2 linked regions of the Oryctolagus cuniculus genome follow. The protein of the gene in region 1 binds, or shares a complex with, the protein of each later gene. Links are inferred from orthologs where the notes say so. Each region holds a gene or a part of one and is shown in the gene's direction. Other genes may lie near its edges.

The links. The genes of interacting proteins can lie anywhere in the genome.
Region 2: DLG4 (region 1) and SHISA6 share a complex: the UniProt entries of both Homo sapiens proteins name them as parts of the postsynaptic hippocampal AMPA-type glutamate receptor (AMPAR) complex. The link is inferred for Oryctolagus cuniculus from reciprocal best matches to the Homo sapiens genes DLG4 and SHISA6.

The regions. Positions count from the first base shown.
Region 1 is NC_091448.1:51,806,127-51,813,205, reverse strand, and holds part of DLG4 (disks large homolog 4), read left to right. Parts: intron 1-3,921; coding exon 3,922-4,217; intron 4,218-4,375; coding exon 4,376-4,478; intron 4,479-4,606; coding exon 4,607-4,721; intron 4,722-6,658; coding exon 6,659-6,835; intron 6,836-7,062; coding exon 7,063-7,079. UniProt on the Homo sapiens protein: Postsynaptic scaffolding protein that plays a critical role in synaptogenesis and synaptic plasticity by providing a platform for the postsynaptic clustering of crucial synaptic proteins.
Region 2 is NC_091448.1:55,332,565-55,339,743, forward strand, and holds the start of SHISA6 (protein shisa-6), read left to right. Parts: upstream 1-2,748; 5' UTR 2,749-2,878; coding exon 2,879-3,522; intron 3,523-7,179. UniProt on the Homo sapiens protein: Involved in maintenance of high-frequency synaptic transmission at hippocampal CA3-CA1 synapses.

The DNA.
Region 1 (7,079 bases):
TCTCTTTTTTAAGATGAATTTATTTGACAGGCAGAATGACACAGAGAAAAGGGACAGAGAACTCACCTGCTGGTTCACTCCCCAGTGGTCACAGCAGCCAGGGCTGGCTCAGACAGTAACAGGAGCCAGGGCTGGCTGAGGCAGTGACAGGAGCCTAGAGCTCCATCCGGGTCTCCCACATGGGTCTCAGGGGCCCAAGGACTTGTGCCATCCTCTGCTACTTTCCCTGGTGCATTAGCAGGGAGCTGGACTGGAAGAAGAGCAGCCAAGGCTTAAACTGGCACTCCAGTATGGGATGCTGGCTTCACACGGTGGCTTAACCTGCTGCTCCCCAACACTGACCCAGAACCCGCTAATAGCTCTGTGTTGTGGGGAGTTGTCCCGTGCATTGTAGGAAATTCAGCAGCAGCCCTGGCCTCTGTCAGTGACAGTGGTGTCCCCACCCTCTCCTCTCACAACACACACACACACACACACACACACACACACACACAGAGCAGAATCGCTCTGTTGAAAATCCCTACTTTAGAGAATGCACATAGCATAGCAAGATAAGGAAAATACAAGGAGCGCATGGAAGAGAGAAACAGCTGTCCTTACTTGTAAAGTGTACTTTCTCCATCTAGATTAAAATACAAGTCATTAACTGATGGACAAAAACATGGAAAGGTGAGCGTGTGGCCCCGAGCAGAAGAGCTGTTGTGGCTCAGCAGGTTAAGCTGTTGCTGGGATCCCTGTATCCCCTCCTGGGGTGGGCCCTGCATCCCCTGCCTCATTCGCTTCTGATCCTGCTTCCTGCTGATGTGCCTGGGAAGGCAGTGGGTAATGGCCCAAGTACCCGGGGAGACTCTTTAGCTTTCTGGCTTTGGCCTGGCCCAGCCCCTGTTATTGTGAGCTTTTGGGAAGTGAGCCCGCAGAGAGCAGATACTTGTCTCTCTCTCTCTCTCTGTCACTCTGCCTTTCAAATAAGTAAATAAATCTTAAATAAAAAAAGAATGTGGCCATATGTAAGTCAATAACCAGAATTGAGCTGGCGGGTCAAGCCACCGTCTGCAGTGCCAGCTGCTCCACTTCTGATCCAGCTCCCTGCTAATGTGCCAGGGAAGGCAGTGGAGGAGGGGCCCCTTCATCCCACGTGGGAGACCCGGATGGGGCTCCTGGCTCCTGGCTTCGGCCTGGCCCAACCCTGACTATTGCAGCCATTTGAGGAATGAACCAAGATGGAAGATCTTTCTCTCTCTGCCTCTGCCTCTCCTTCTAACTCTGCCTTTCAAATACATAAATCAATCTTTAAAAAACAAAACAAAAAACAAGAATCAGTAACTTCCCAGCCATGAAAAGATGATGTGATGGGTAAGAAGATCTCATTTGCTATAGAAAACAATTCTACAAAATTCTTATAAATACAGACTTGACAAGAAATATAAGATTTCTATGAAAAAAAAATGACGAAACTTTACTGAGGCATATAAAACAATGTTTCTGGATGGAATGACTTAATATGCTACAGCTCTCAAACCTCTCCAGATTAATCTATATATTTTATGCAAATCCAAATCAGGATTTAAATGTTGTTTTTCCCCCTGAGAATTTAGCAGGTTGATTTTAAAGTTCAACTGGAAAAATATGTGTGGGAGAATAACGAAGACATTTTTGGAAAGGAGTAATGAAGTACGCCTGCCCCTACTGAATATGAAATCAGACTGTGCAATCATATTTAAGTCACATGGCAGCTCTTCTTTTTTTTCTTTTGGATTTTATTTATTTTCATTTTCACTTGAGAGAGAGAGAGAGAGAGAGAGAGAGAGCGATCTTCCATCCACCAGCCCGCACAGGACTGGAATGCAGTCCGTCTCCCGCGTGGGTGGCAGGGACACAGGTGCCTGGGTCATCACCTGTTGCCCCTCCGGATGCACATTCAGCAGGAAGCTGGATCGAAGTGGGACACCCAGAACCTGAACCAGGCACGCTGAGATAGGATGTGGGTGCCCCAAGTAACAGCTTAACTGCGTGCCAAACACCTGCCCTGGGTGGGCCCTGTTTCTAAATACCAAAACCTCCCTGAAGAAGCCTGGCCTTCTTGGGGAAAGGGGAGCCAGTTTAAAATCCTGGGCAAGGGCCGGCGCCGCGGCTCACTAGGCTAATCCTCCGCCTAGCGGCGCCGGCACACCGGGTTCTAGTCCCGGTCGGGCACCAGATTCTGTCCCGGTTGCCCCTCTTCCAGGCCAGCTCTCTGCTGTGGCCAGGGAGTGCAGTGGAGGATGGCCCAGGTGCTTGGGCCCTGCACCCCATGGGAGACCAGGAAAAGCACCTGGCTCCTGGCTCCTGCCATCGGATCAGCGCGGTGTGCCGGCCGCAGCGCGCCAGCCGCGGCGGCCATTGGAGGGTGAACCAACGGCAAAGGAAGACCTTTCTGTCTGTCTCTCTCTCACACTATCCACTCTGCCTGTCAAAAAAAAAAAAAAAAAAAAAAAAAAAAAATCCTGGGCAAGGCTGGCGCTGTGGCTCACTAGGCTAATCCTCCTCCTGTGGTGCTGGCACTCCAGGTTCTAGTCCCGGTTAGGGCGCCGGGTTCTAGTCCCGGTTGCTCCTTTTCCAGTCCAGCTCTCTGCTGTGGCCCGGGAAGGCAGTGGAGGATGGCCCTGGTGCTTGGGCCCTGCACCTGCATGGGAGACCAGGAGAAGCACCTGGCTCCTGGCTTCAGATCGGCGCAGCGCACCGGCCGTGGTGACCATTTGGGGAGTGTGGGGTGAACCAACAGAAGGAAGACCTTTCTCTCTGTCTCTCTCTCTCACTGTCTAACTCTGCCTATCAAAAAAAAAAAAAAAAAAAAAAAAAAAAAAAAAAAAAAAAGTCCTGGGCAAGAAATATCTAAGATTCACTTGACCTCCATTCTAGAAAGCAAAGGTGGTATCCAGGACTACTAGAGCATGTCAAAGACACAGGAGCCCAACTTAAGGGATTCTTCCTGGCTGTTGAATCAGAACTCCTTGAGTTAAAATTTATGGGGTCGCAATAGTGATTTAAAATATTGGGGTACCTTTGGAGGCTATAAAGGGACCCATTCATTCTGAAAATAAAGAGGGACTGTCAGACCTTTGTCTTCCCATCTCAGAGTGGTCTACGTAAGTCAGTTCTTTATAGAATTCCTGCTAACAAATGCTTCCTTGTTCCCCCACCCAAAGTAGAGTATCACCATTTTGCAAACCCTGATGAATATCTAAACCAGGCAGTGATCATCAACAGCCTTGAAAATTTAAGTGAAAGACTGGCAGGCATTTGATAGTGCATAGACCAGGTTGTCAGCCACCAACCCTGCTCGTCACTCCAACAGAGATGCAGTAGTGGTGGGGCCGTAGGGAGCGCTCAGCGCTGCCTGTGACGGATGCTGTATTTAGAAATTGAACTGGAACCTGGTTGCACCCCCAGAACCAACTGCCAGCTTACAGGAGGTGGAGGGCAGAGATGCAGGATGAAGCAGACCTTGAGGATGCAGGCAGAGGTTTCTCTGTTGGATTCCCCTGGTAGGATGTTGGACGTTCTTGCAGACAGATAGCTTGTTCAATCAGTGGTCAAGAGGGAGAGGAATTCTGTGGCTGAAGGGATGTGAGAGAGACAGCAACCAGAAGAAAACCCCCAAAGCATGGATTCCCATTAGCCTGTAGCTTCATCCCTGGCCTGCTGTGGACAAAAAGCCTTTAAATCCCTTGTTTCCCACAACCACCCCGACACCACCTGTAAGTTGCTGACCCCTGGCAGGGCCGTGTCTGACGTCCCCACGGGGGTATCCCTGGCAGGGCAGCTTCCCTTTCACCTGAGTCTGGCTCTCTGGGTTCCTGCCCAGGGGGGAAGGTGGGGCAGTGGGTGCCGTGTCCCTTCCATCCACTTCCACCTTGTCTTTCCTCCCGTGTCCGCCCTCAGCGTACTCCCAGCACCTGGACAACGAGATTAGTCACAGCAGCTACCTGGGCACCGACTACCCCACAGCCATGACCCCCACTTCCCCTCGGCGCTACTCGCCTGTGGCCAAGGACCTGCTGGGGGAGGAGGACATTCCCCGGGAGCCGAGGCGAATCGTGATCCACCGGGGCTCCACCGGCCTGGGCTTCAACATTGTGGGCGGCGAGGACGGTGAAGGCATCTTCATCTCCTTCATCCTGGCCGGGGGCCCTGCGGACCTCAGTGGGGAGCTGCGGAAGGGGGACCAGATCCTGTCGGTGAGGGGAAGCCTGCCCCGCCCCTCACCGAGCTCCTTGGGGCGGGGTGTGTGTGTGTGTGTGTGTGTGTATGTGGCTGGGCTGATCCCTACTCCATGTGGACCTGGGAAGTGCCCCCGCCCTGTCCCCAGCCACACAGCCTCTGCTCCTGCCTGCAGGTCAACGGGGTGGACCTCCGTAACGCCAGCCACGAGCAGGCCGCCATTGCCCTGAAGAATGCGGGCCAGACAGTCACGATCATCGCTCAGTATAAACCAGAAGGTACCCGGCGCGGGGCTCCCCGCCGAGGGCATCCTCAGAACTCTCCCCTGGGCTGATGGCTGTCTGGGGGCGAGGGGAGTGGCCGCAGGAGGAGGGCAGAGCTCTGGAACTGTCTGGTCCTCCCTCAGAGTACAGCCGCTTCGAGGCCAAGATCCATGACCTTCGAGAGCAGCTCATGAACAGCAGCCTGGGCTCAGGGACGGCCTCCCTGCGGAGCAACCCCAAGAGGGGGTTCTACATCAGGTCAGAGGCTCGCTGGGCCGGGCTCCGCAGGCTCCCAGGGCCGGATTCCTTTGCTCTGTGCCTGTTCCCTGTTCCCCAGCCACTCTCCCTTAGCCCTGCCTTGTTCCCCTTTCCCAACCCCGGGGCGGGCGCCCAACGTGGTGATCAAGGAGGGCTTGGCTACAGAGGTTTACATTGTCACTCCAGAAGGCAGAGTTACAGAGAGAGAGGGAGAGAGAGAGAGCCATCTTCCATCCACTGGTTCACGCCCCAAATGGCCACAACAGCCAGGGCTGGGCCGGGCTGAAGCCAGGAGCCAGGAACTTCACCTGGGTCTCCCACATGGGTATCGGAACCCAAGCACTTGGGCCATCTTTCACTGCTTTCCCAGGTCCATTAGCAAGGACCTGGATCAGGAGAGGAGCAGCCGGGACTGGAACCGGCATCCATATGGGATGCCTGGGCTGCAGACAGTGGCTTAACCTACTAGGCCACAGCACCAGCCCCAGGTTTACATTGTGAAACACAGTTGACCTCTGGGCATCCACGGAGTCAGCCCACTGTGAATCAGGAATACTTGAAAAAACCACGGTGCTGGACTTGTCCAGACTTTCATCCTGTCTTCCTTCCCCAGACGATACAATGTACGCGTGAGGTGTTTACAGTGTATTCAGTATTATAAATGATCTAGAGATGACTTAAAGACCAGAGGAGGATTGCGTAGGTTACATGCAAATAGCATTTTATGTAAGGGACTTGAACATCCAGGGATTCTGTGTCTGCGGGGCCTCCTGGAACTGACACCCTGCAGGTTGCCAGGCAGACTGTGCTCGCAGGGCGGGGAACAGGCTCTGTCTCAGGTCTCTGAGGTGCCTGCTCTCCTTGCCGGGGGACTCCCGGGCTGCCCACCATTTAACACCTCACAGCTTAATGCCTGGCATAGCAGCGCCCCCTGGCACAGCTCGAGTGTTGCCCGAGCCTCCGTCTCGGGAGAGATGGGCCACAGCGCTCTCGGCTGTCTCCTGTCTCCTCGCTGGTGCCTTGCTCTCTCCTAGGGCCCTTCCTGCTGTTGACTCCCCCTTCCCCCATGGACTCTGCAGCCCGGGTGCCCGCCAGCCCCTCTCCTCCTCTCTGATCCTGTCCACTTGCACAGCCTGGGCCGCCCCGAGTCTTGCAGGCGTCTCTCAGAGCTGTCTGCCCTGGCCTGCCCTCTTCCTGGAGGTGCCGACCTGCAGCTCTGGCCATGTGCTTTCTGGGATGTCCCATAGGCAACTCATGCTCAGCATGGCCCACACCGAGCTCGTGGTCTTTCTCCTGGGTAGTGAGGTCTCCGTCTTGCCCAAGCAGTGTTACTCCCTCTTGCTCAGTGGCATCGCCGTCCACCCAGACACCAGGCTGAGTGAGACCTGGGTCCTCTCGGCCCTCCCCTCCCTGCTGGGATCTACCCCAGGGTCTTTCAGTTCTGACTTCCGGTGGGTGCTGAACGATCCTGGGACTCTGTCCTTTCCCGTCTCATTCCGGAACTTTAGTCTGCGTCTTTGCTCTCCCAGGGAGGGTTGCTGTCCCTTCTCTTGTGAAGCCAGGGGTGTAAGGACGGAGTGGGAGGCATTTCCTGCTTTTAGGGTAACCAGTTTGCGTGTAGGGGACCTCTTAGTTCCTATGGATCTCAGCAGATTGTGGTGACTTGGCGACACACCTGTGTGCTTCAGCCTGCTTCCCGGAGAGGTGGAGGTTAGCCCTCACTCCGGAAGTTGTCCGCAGCGTAGACTGAGGACAGTTAACAGTCCTGGTGACACCAGAGCTTTGGGTGCTCACAGTTGCTGGGTTCCCATGGCAGTGCCACCACTGGCCCCTCTCCCAGGACCTATACCCCGGGGCCCAGGGTGGCTGGTGCCTCCTTTCTTGGAGTCCCCCCCCACCCCGCCCCAGGCTCTGACCAGTAGCCACTTGGCCTCCAGGGCCCTGTTTGATTACGACAAGACCAAGGACTGCGGCTTCCTGAGCCAGGCCCTGAGCTTCCGCTTTGGGGACGTGCTGCATGTCATCGACGCCAGCGACGAGGAGTGGTGGCAGGCGCGACGGGTCCACTCTGACAGTGAGACCGACGACATCGGCTTCATCCCCAGCAAACGGCGGTGAGGCTCCTGGGGTCTGCAGCCTTCCTGCCCCGGGCACGGACATCCCCCCTCCACGGTACCCCCTGGAGGGGGGACAGCCAACAGGGAACCGGTTTGCCCTCTGACCTCTTGGGGACTGTGGCTTGTGTGAGTGAGCCTGTGGTGCCCAGGGACCACTGGCTGCTGGGAGGCCAGGTGGTCAGCTGGGCCTTTTCCTACTCCCCATTCCCGCATGTGTTCTGCAGGGTTGAGCGACGAGAGT
Region 2 (7,179 bases), about 3.5 Mb from region 1:
CTGTTGCATGAGTTCAGTTTGTCCACAGTTCCTCCATCTTTTTTTTTTTGACAGGCAGAGTGGACAGGGTGAGAAAGAGACAGAGAGAAAGGTCTTCCTTTGCCGTTGGTTCACCCTCCAGCGGCCGCCGCACTGCACTGATCCGATGGCAGGAGTCAGGTGCTTCTCCTGGTCTCCCATGGGGTGCAGGGCCCAAGCACTTGGGACATCCTCCACTGCACTCCTGGGCCACAGCAGAGAGCTGGCCTGGAAGAGGGGCAACCGGGACAGAATCCGGCGCCCTGACCGGGACTAGAACCCAGTATGCCGGCGCCGCAAGGCGGAGGATTAGCCTAGTGACCCGCGTCGCCGGCCCTCTTTTTTTTTTTTTTTTTTTTTTTTTAACCTGGATTATCAGGACAGTTTCCAGACTACTTTTCCTGTACCCAGTCCAATATTCCCTACTCCATCTGACTTAGGAGATCCAGGGAACCTATAAATCTGATCTTCTCCTGATGAAAACTCAGCAATAGTTGCCCCTCAATACGTGGAAGGTGTGAAATAAATTCAGGTTCCTTGGCAAGAGATACACTGCCCTCCTGGGAAAGATCCCCAGGGTGTATCCTGATCTGCACGCATCCCCCTGCTCATACTCTGCTCACTTCGCGGCTTCCTGAATTTGCTAAGGAGGGTCCCTCTACTGGTCCTTCCTCTCTTGCTTGCTTTATTAACTCTCAGTCACTCTTCAAGATGGTGCTCATCGCCCCAGCGAGAAGGCTGCGTTTGGCACCGGGGCACCTGCCATCTGCTCTCAGGGCCCTCCGTGTCCATCTTTACCAAGGGACATCGCCATGCCCCGTGGAAGCCATGTGCTATGTCTTCCCAACCCTTTAGCACTTACAAGGGGCCTGGCGGAGAGTAGGCACCGAACACATGTTGAACAGAATCTTTCAGAAGAGGGTGGCAGCTGAGAGGCAGGGAGAAAGTGCGGAGGAAGAGGGAGAGACTGGAGGGAGTTCCCCCAAGGGAGTTTGGCACCACCTGGCCTTGATCATTGCCCCAGGAGCTCCCCCCTCAGGCTCAGACTCTGCCTTGTTCCAGCTCTGACCCTGAAGAAGCACCCAGGAGGGCTACACCGGAAGTCTCACGGAAAATCCCATACTGCCCGCTTGTCCTCTGACAAGTCTGCTTGTCCCTTGCCTTCAACCAAAGCACTTAGAATTTGGGCCGCGCCCGGGGCTTTTGTTCTCATTTCACCCCCACCTCCTCCAAGGACGCACAGGAAAGAGGCTTGTGACTCCCCCTCGTGGGGATGGCCTCATAGCTTGAAAGTTAGACTCAGGCTTCCTTCACACAACGTCGTTGCTCCCACACCGGCCCAGGAATAACACCCCTCCCCCGCGCGCCTATCCCCTCCAACCTCACCAGCCACACGCAGGAACTTTTCCAACTCAGCTTCAACGCTCTGAACCACAGTCTGGGGACACTGGGAGTGCCACCCACGGCCGGAGCTCCCTCAAGTCCACGACCTTGTAGGTGGTGGGGTGGGGAGGAGGGCTCCGCTCCTGGCAAAGCCACTTGACCCCTGGCCTCAGTTTAAGAACCTGTAGCAATGGGTCTGACCTCTTTCCTCGGCTGCTAGAGTCACCGCTAGGGAGAGGTAACGGCTTGCGCAAAGCCTAACTCCCGTTCTGGAAGCGCGCAGGCAGCGGGGGGGCTCGCGTGGGAACCGCCGCGAGGGCTGCAAGGGGCAACAGGCAACCGCTGGGGAAGTGCGGCCGGGCCGGACGCTCCCGCCCCGCTGCGCGGCCCCTCTTCACCGGCTCGCCGTGGAGGAACTGGTGGCTTCGGTGACGCGCAGACTCAAGTGCTGCTGCTAGGCAGGGGGAGAAATAAAAAGGAGCCCCCCCCCCTTCCCCGGCCCCTAGCATCACCCCGCCCCAGCTCCCCAGGCGCCTAGGCGTGGAAACGTGGGCGGCGGCGAGCGGCCGTCCCCCTCCGCGCGCGGCGCTCCCTGTGCGCCGTGTGTGAGTGCGTGTGTCTCCCTCGCTCCTCTCGCACACGCTCCGGCACTAGTGCAGGCGCAGAGCCCGCGGCTCTCGGTTCGCTGGCTCACTCGCTCGCTCGCTCGCTCAGTCGCTGCGCTCCTGCCTCGCCGCCGCCGCCGCCACTGCAGTCGCAACCGGGCATGGTGAGTGAGTGAGGTTCGGCCGCCGCACGCGGACCCCAAGCTCCCCGCCCGACCCCACCAGCCTTAGCCGGCGCCGTCCCGGCCAGCCAGCCAGCCTGCGGCGGGAGCGCGCGGCGGGCCCCGGCGGCCCGTGCGCTCTTGGTCCCCGGCGCGCAGGGCCGCCCGACTCCGTCTTGGGAGCGAGCTCATTGCCCCTCCCGGTCCAGAGCTTGGCTCCTCGAGGGCTGCGCGCTCCCTCCTCGCCCGTCCGCTGCTCCGCTCCTGCCCGTCGCCCCACCCCGTGACCAGCTCCCTGTCTTGTCCCGCAGGACCCGCCCGGACGGGACCACGTCGCCACCGCCGCCGCCGCCGCCCGGAGCCGCGCTTCGGGTCCTGCCTGAGCCGAGTCGCGCGCGGGGCCGCCGCCGCCGCCGGCGGGGGATGGGGCTGCCCGGCAGGCGCGCCGATCCCGCAGGGGGAGCGCGGAGCCGGCGCGCAGCCTGAGAGCCCTCCCGGAGCAGCCCGCGCCGGGCCGGTCCGTGCGCACCGCGCGCCGCCACTGCCGCCGCCGCCGCCGCCACCGCTCGCGCCTCGATGGCGCCATCGCCCCGGTGCCGCTGAGCGCCCCGCGCAGCCAGCCCGGCCCGTGCGGCCGCCCTCGGAGCCCGGCCCGCCGGGGGAGCGGGCCTGCCGCGGAAGCTTCCCCGCGCCCTCCCGCCCGGCCCCGCCATGGCGCTGCGGCGCCTCCTGCTGCTGCTTCTGCTGCTGCTCTCGCTGGAGTCCCTGGACCTGCTGCCCGGCGCCCACGCCGCCCGCGGCCGCGCCGCCAACCGGACCCTAAGCGCCGGCGCCGCTGCCGTCGGGGGCCGGCGGCCGGGGGGCGCCCTGGCCCGGGGCGGCCGCGAGCTGAATGGCACCGCCCGGGGGGCATCCGGCGGCCCGGAAGCGGGCAGCCGGCGAGGGCAGCCCGCGGCGGCGGTGGCGGCAGCCAGCGCGACCGTCACCTACGAGACGTGCTGGGGCTACTACGACGTGAGCGGCCAGTACGACAAGGAGTTCGAGTGCAACAACAGCGAAAGCGGCTACCTGTACTGCTGCGGCACCTGCTACTACCGCTTCTGCTGCAAGAAGCGCCACGAGAAGCTGGACCAACGCCAGTGCACCAACTACCAGAGCCCGGTGTGGGTGCAGACGCCCAGCACCAAGGTGGTGTCGCCGGGGCCCGAGAACAAGTACGACCCGGAGAAGGACAAGACCAACTTCACCGTCTACATCACGTGCGGGGTGATCGCCTTCGTCGTCGTGGCGGGGGTCTTCGCCAAGATATCCTACGACAAGGCCCACCGCCCTCCGCGGGAGATGAACATCCACAGGTGAGCGCCAGGGCGCGATGCCCCCAGCCCGGGACACCCCCTCCCCCCACCAAGCCCCCAGCTCCCGTGGCCTCTCCCCTCTTAACGTGCCCTCTGGCTTCCACCATCACTTCTTTCACATGCCCTGGGATCTCCGTTGCTGCACAGCCTGGGGGCGGAGGGGGTGGGTACGCTTTGGTGGTAGGGGGCTCGCGCAGCAGAGTCAAGAATTGGTGGAGGCCACTGGGAGTTCAAGTGCCACGGTTTTTACGAAGCCCATCATCGTGCCCAGAGATCCAGGGTTCCCTTATCCAGCCATGTGGGCACTTTGGTTGTGTGGGCTTGATGGCATTTAGCTTTTTTGAGACAAACCCGAGTGTCATCTTCAGTATAGAAAGGAGTCCAGTGTTGGAACCGTACTCAAAAGAGCACCGAGTAGCTTCGAGTAAACTGGGGTGTTCCCTGCGGGGCGGGATGGGGGTGACACGCGGAAGCACAGATGGTGTCTCTTGGAGTGGGATGCTTGTCTTTCCTGCAGAGACCGGACTTGTTCCGTTCAGTTCTGGAGGCAGAACTCGCCGAGGTAACCCGTTCTCGCCGAGTTCTGCCTGGTGGGCATCCCTCACTGCTCCCTCTGGGGACACGGTGGAGGCAGCCTCCTACCAAAACTTAGGCGAGAGAGCTCAGCTGGGGCAGCCTGTGGTTCCCCTCTGAGCGCCGCCCACCCCACTGGGCTGACCCCCAGTGCGACCTGTGGGAAGTGAAAGCCAAGAGAAGTACAGAAAACCCAGCCACTCCTTAGAAGTCTGGGAAAGACACACCCCAGGTTAGCTGCCTTCATGGCGGGGAGGGGCTGGATGTGGCTCAACGGGGTCCTTTCGGGGAGCAAACCTGGCCCCAGGAATTGCCTGCATTTTTGTTGCAGGGTTATGGGCACTGCCCTGATAACCATGGCTGCCCCCGCCCTAAAACCGTTGCTTCTGGGTTGTTCCTGCAATGCCCCACCCTGAGCCGGCATCCCCCTACACTCATCTCCACACCTGCTGTTCTCCTTACGTCCGGAATGGCTCCGTCTCTTGCTGTGTGGACATTAATCACGCTCACCCCCGGCTTGCCAAAGGGAGAGAGAAAGGCAGATAGAAATTTCTAGGCATGCCGAAAGAGCTGGTTTTTTTTTTCCCCTAGTTTGGTACTGTGGGTGTTGAGAAAAGGTGATACTCCCTAGCAGGTCCACACTGTGTGGGTGCTTTGAACTCAGACCTAGAACTGGGCTGACTCCACAAGGAGACCCGCTGATAATCTGTCCCCATCCGAGGGTGCCACCACCTTCCCTCCCACTGTTGCCTTAGCTCTCTGGTGGTACATTTTGACTCGGCATCCGCCTGGAGCCTGTGCTGGCCCTGGCACCGATGGGGCGGTGGATTTTGAGAAATGATCTGGGGTGCAGATTACAGGACAGGTGGGACGAAGTCAAGGCAAAACCCTTTCTCCTTTGAGTCTCGTCTGGCAAAGAGATCTATGTCTTGGTTAAGCTTGGAGAGCAGAGAAGGCATTGCCTGTGAGCCGTGTCCCTTCCTAAGCAGATGGTCCTTATCATCCGTCCACCTCTCGCTTAGGACTTGGAGGAGGCTTGTCTCCCAGCCCCTTCTCCCGTGTCCCTGGCCTCTCATCATAGCCTCTGCTCTCTGCCGCCGGCCTCTTGCTGGTTGATTCCCACACACCCACCTTTCTTTCTGTGGGTTTCTGTTTTCCCTGAGCCATTGTTTTCTGCACTCTTAGAGGAACTTGCTCGCTGTCCTGCTCCCTGGCCCCTCCTGCAGAGTCTGTGCACAGAGAAGGTGGTATCCTGGGATGCTGGGAGCAGGTGTCTTTGGCTGCTGCTGGCATTGGCACATGACCCCAGCGAGGTCACTGTGTCTCCTGGTATTTCCTCCGCTCCCCACTACACAGACACCCCTTATCCCAAACCAGGGTAACTATCGTGACATCACTGCAGCGCTTTCTCTCTGGGGCTGGAGAAGAGTGGTGACCGTGGGGAGGGGACTGAACCTCAGGCCTCAGACCATTATGTAAATGAGGGATGTTTCTCCCTCAAGTTCACCTCCTGCTTTTATTCCACTCACAGCACCTCTTCCAGCAGCTGCAGCCTCGCCTGATCCATGCTTGGGGGAGATTGTCCTATTGACGGTGTTGGGTGGGGACAATGTCTGTGTGTGTGTGTGTGTGTGTGTGTGTGGTGGGGGAGGGTGTGGAGAGGCAGGGGGACAGAGCCTGAGAGGTCCAGCTAGACTGCTTAGAGTGACCTTGTGCAGGTCAGGGGAACTCGCTTTTCAGTTCTGGGTAACCCAGGTACAGAGATCCCACAAGGATCTCTCCCTTCCAGAGCGTGTCAGGGCAGGTGAGCCCACTGCCCTCTCCCTGGCAGGGGTGGGAGGCTCCTGTTACTCTGCCCACGACTCAAAGCTCCCTGCTCACCGTTCATTCCAGGAATTGGGCTTGTGCAGGCTGACTTGTTGGGGAATCAGGGTAGGGATGAGGAGGGAGCGAGGAAGACAGAGAGAAACAGTCACACCCATGGTGAGTTTTCCCCGGGGAAAGTGCAGAGAAGAAATGGGGTCAGGAGGCTTCCAGACAGTTCAGCAAAGTCCCGAGATCCTGCCTCAGAAGGAAAAAGAGGTGCTTATTCGTCCCTGAAGACGGCTGGGCAGGCAGGGCCGAGGTTGCGCAAGTCTCAATGACCTCTTTGGAAAGAAGAGTTTGTGGGCACGAAGGAAGGGGCCGTAGGCCGGGATTGTCGGCTGTGTGCCCCCGCCTGGGTGTTCCCTGGCTGGCCTGGAGAGCCCTCTCTCCGCCCAGGCACAGGTGTTCCTTAGGGCAAGCCTGCCTTTCATCTCGGCACCCCCTGCAGGGAAGAACAGATTCTCATCTTTTCCAGAAGTGGTTAGACCTTGCTGTCCTGTTCCCGAGTGAGAAGTCCACAAGCTCTCTGCTGCACCAAGTCACACTCAGTTAGCCTGCCCCTGACCCCGGGGGAGGGGGAGGAGGTGGGCACAGGGACCGGAGACAGAGCCTTGTCCTGGGTGTGGGAAGCCAGCAGGCAGCTTGTCCCCAGCAGTATCTCTGTCCTGACTCCCCGGTCACTGAAACAGCCCCGGGCTGTGGCTGGAGCTGATGGCCCATAGGCATCCCCCGACTTTCATATTTGCAGAGTGGCCTCTGCCAGGCATCCCCAGGGCTCTCTGCTCAGTGAGAGGTTCCTGATGTCCTCCAAGGCCCGGGCTTCGGACGGAGGCCGACTCCTTCTGCCATTGAGCTCCATGCCAGCTGTCTCACATCCAGACCTGTTCCTTCCTCCTCACCCTGAGTTGATTCATTAGCGTCGTCGAGATGAGGGTGATGCTGAGGGAGGAACCTCATGGCTTCTTTTTTTTTTTTATGGCTAATTAACAGAAGGGTCAGGAAGCTGTTGGGAGGCTGCAGACACAGTTGGTGAAGTCACAGGTGCCCTGGGTCCTCCCACCCTCGCAACAGGCAGGGGAGGGACAGAGGACAGGGAAGTGGGCAGGGGAGGGCTGGCTGCTGGTAGAGGTAGGAAGAAGGACCTGAGTGGACATCATCAAGGACTGGGAGTCAGCTCTGCCATGGGGTCGTGGCTCTTGGGGTCTCCCTGTTGATTTC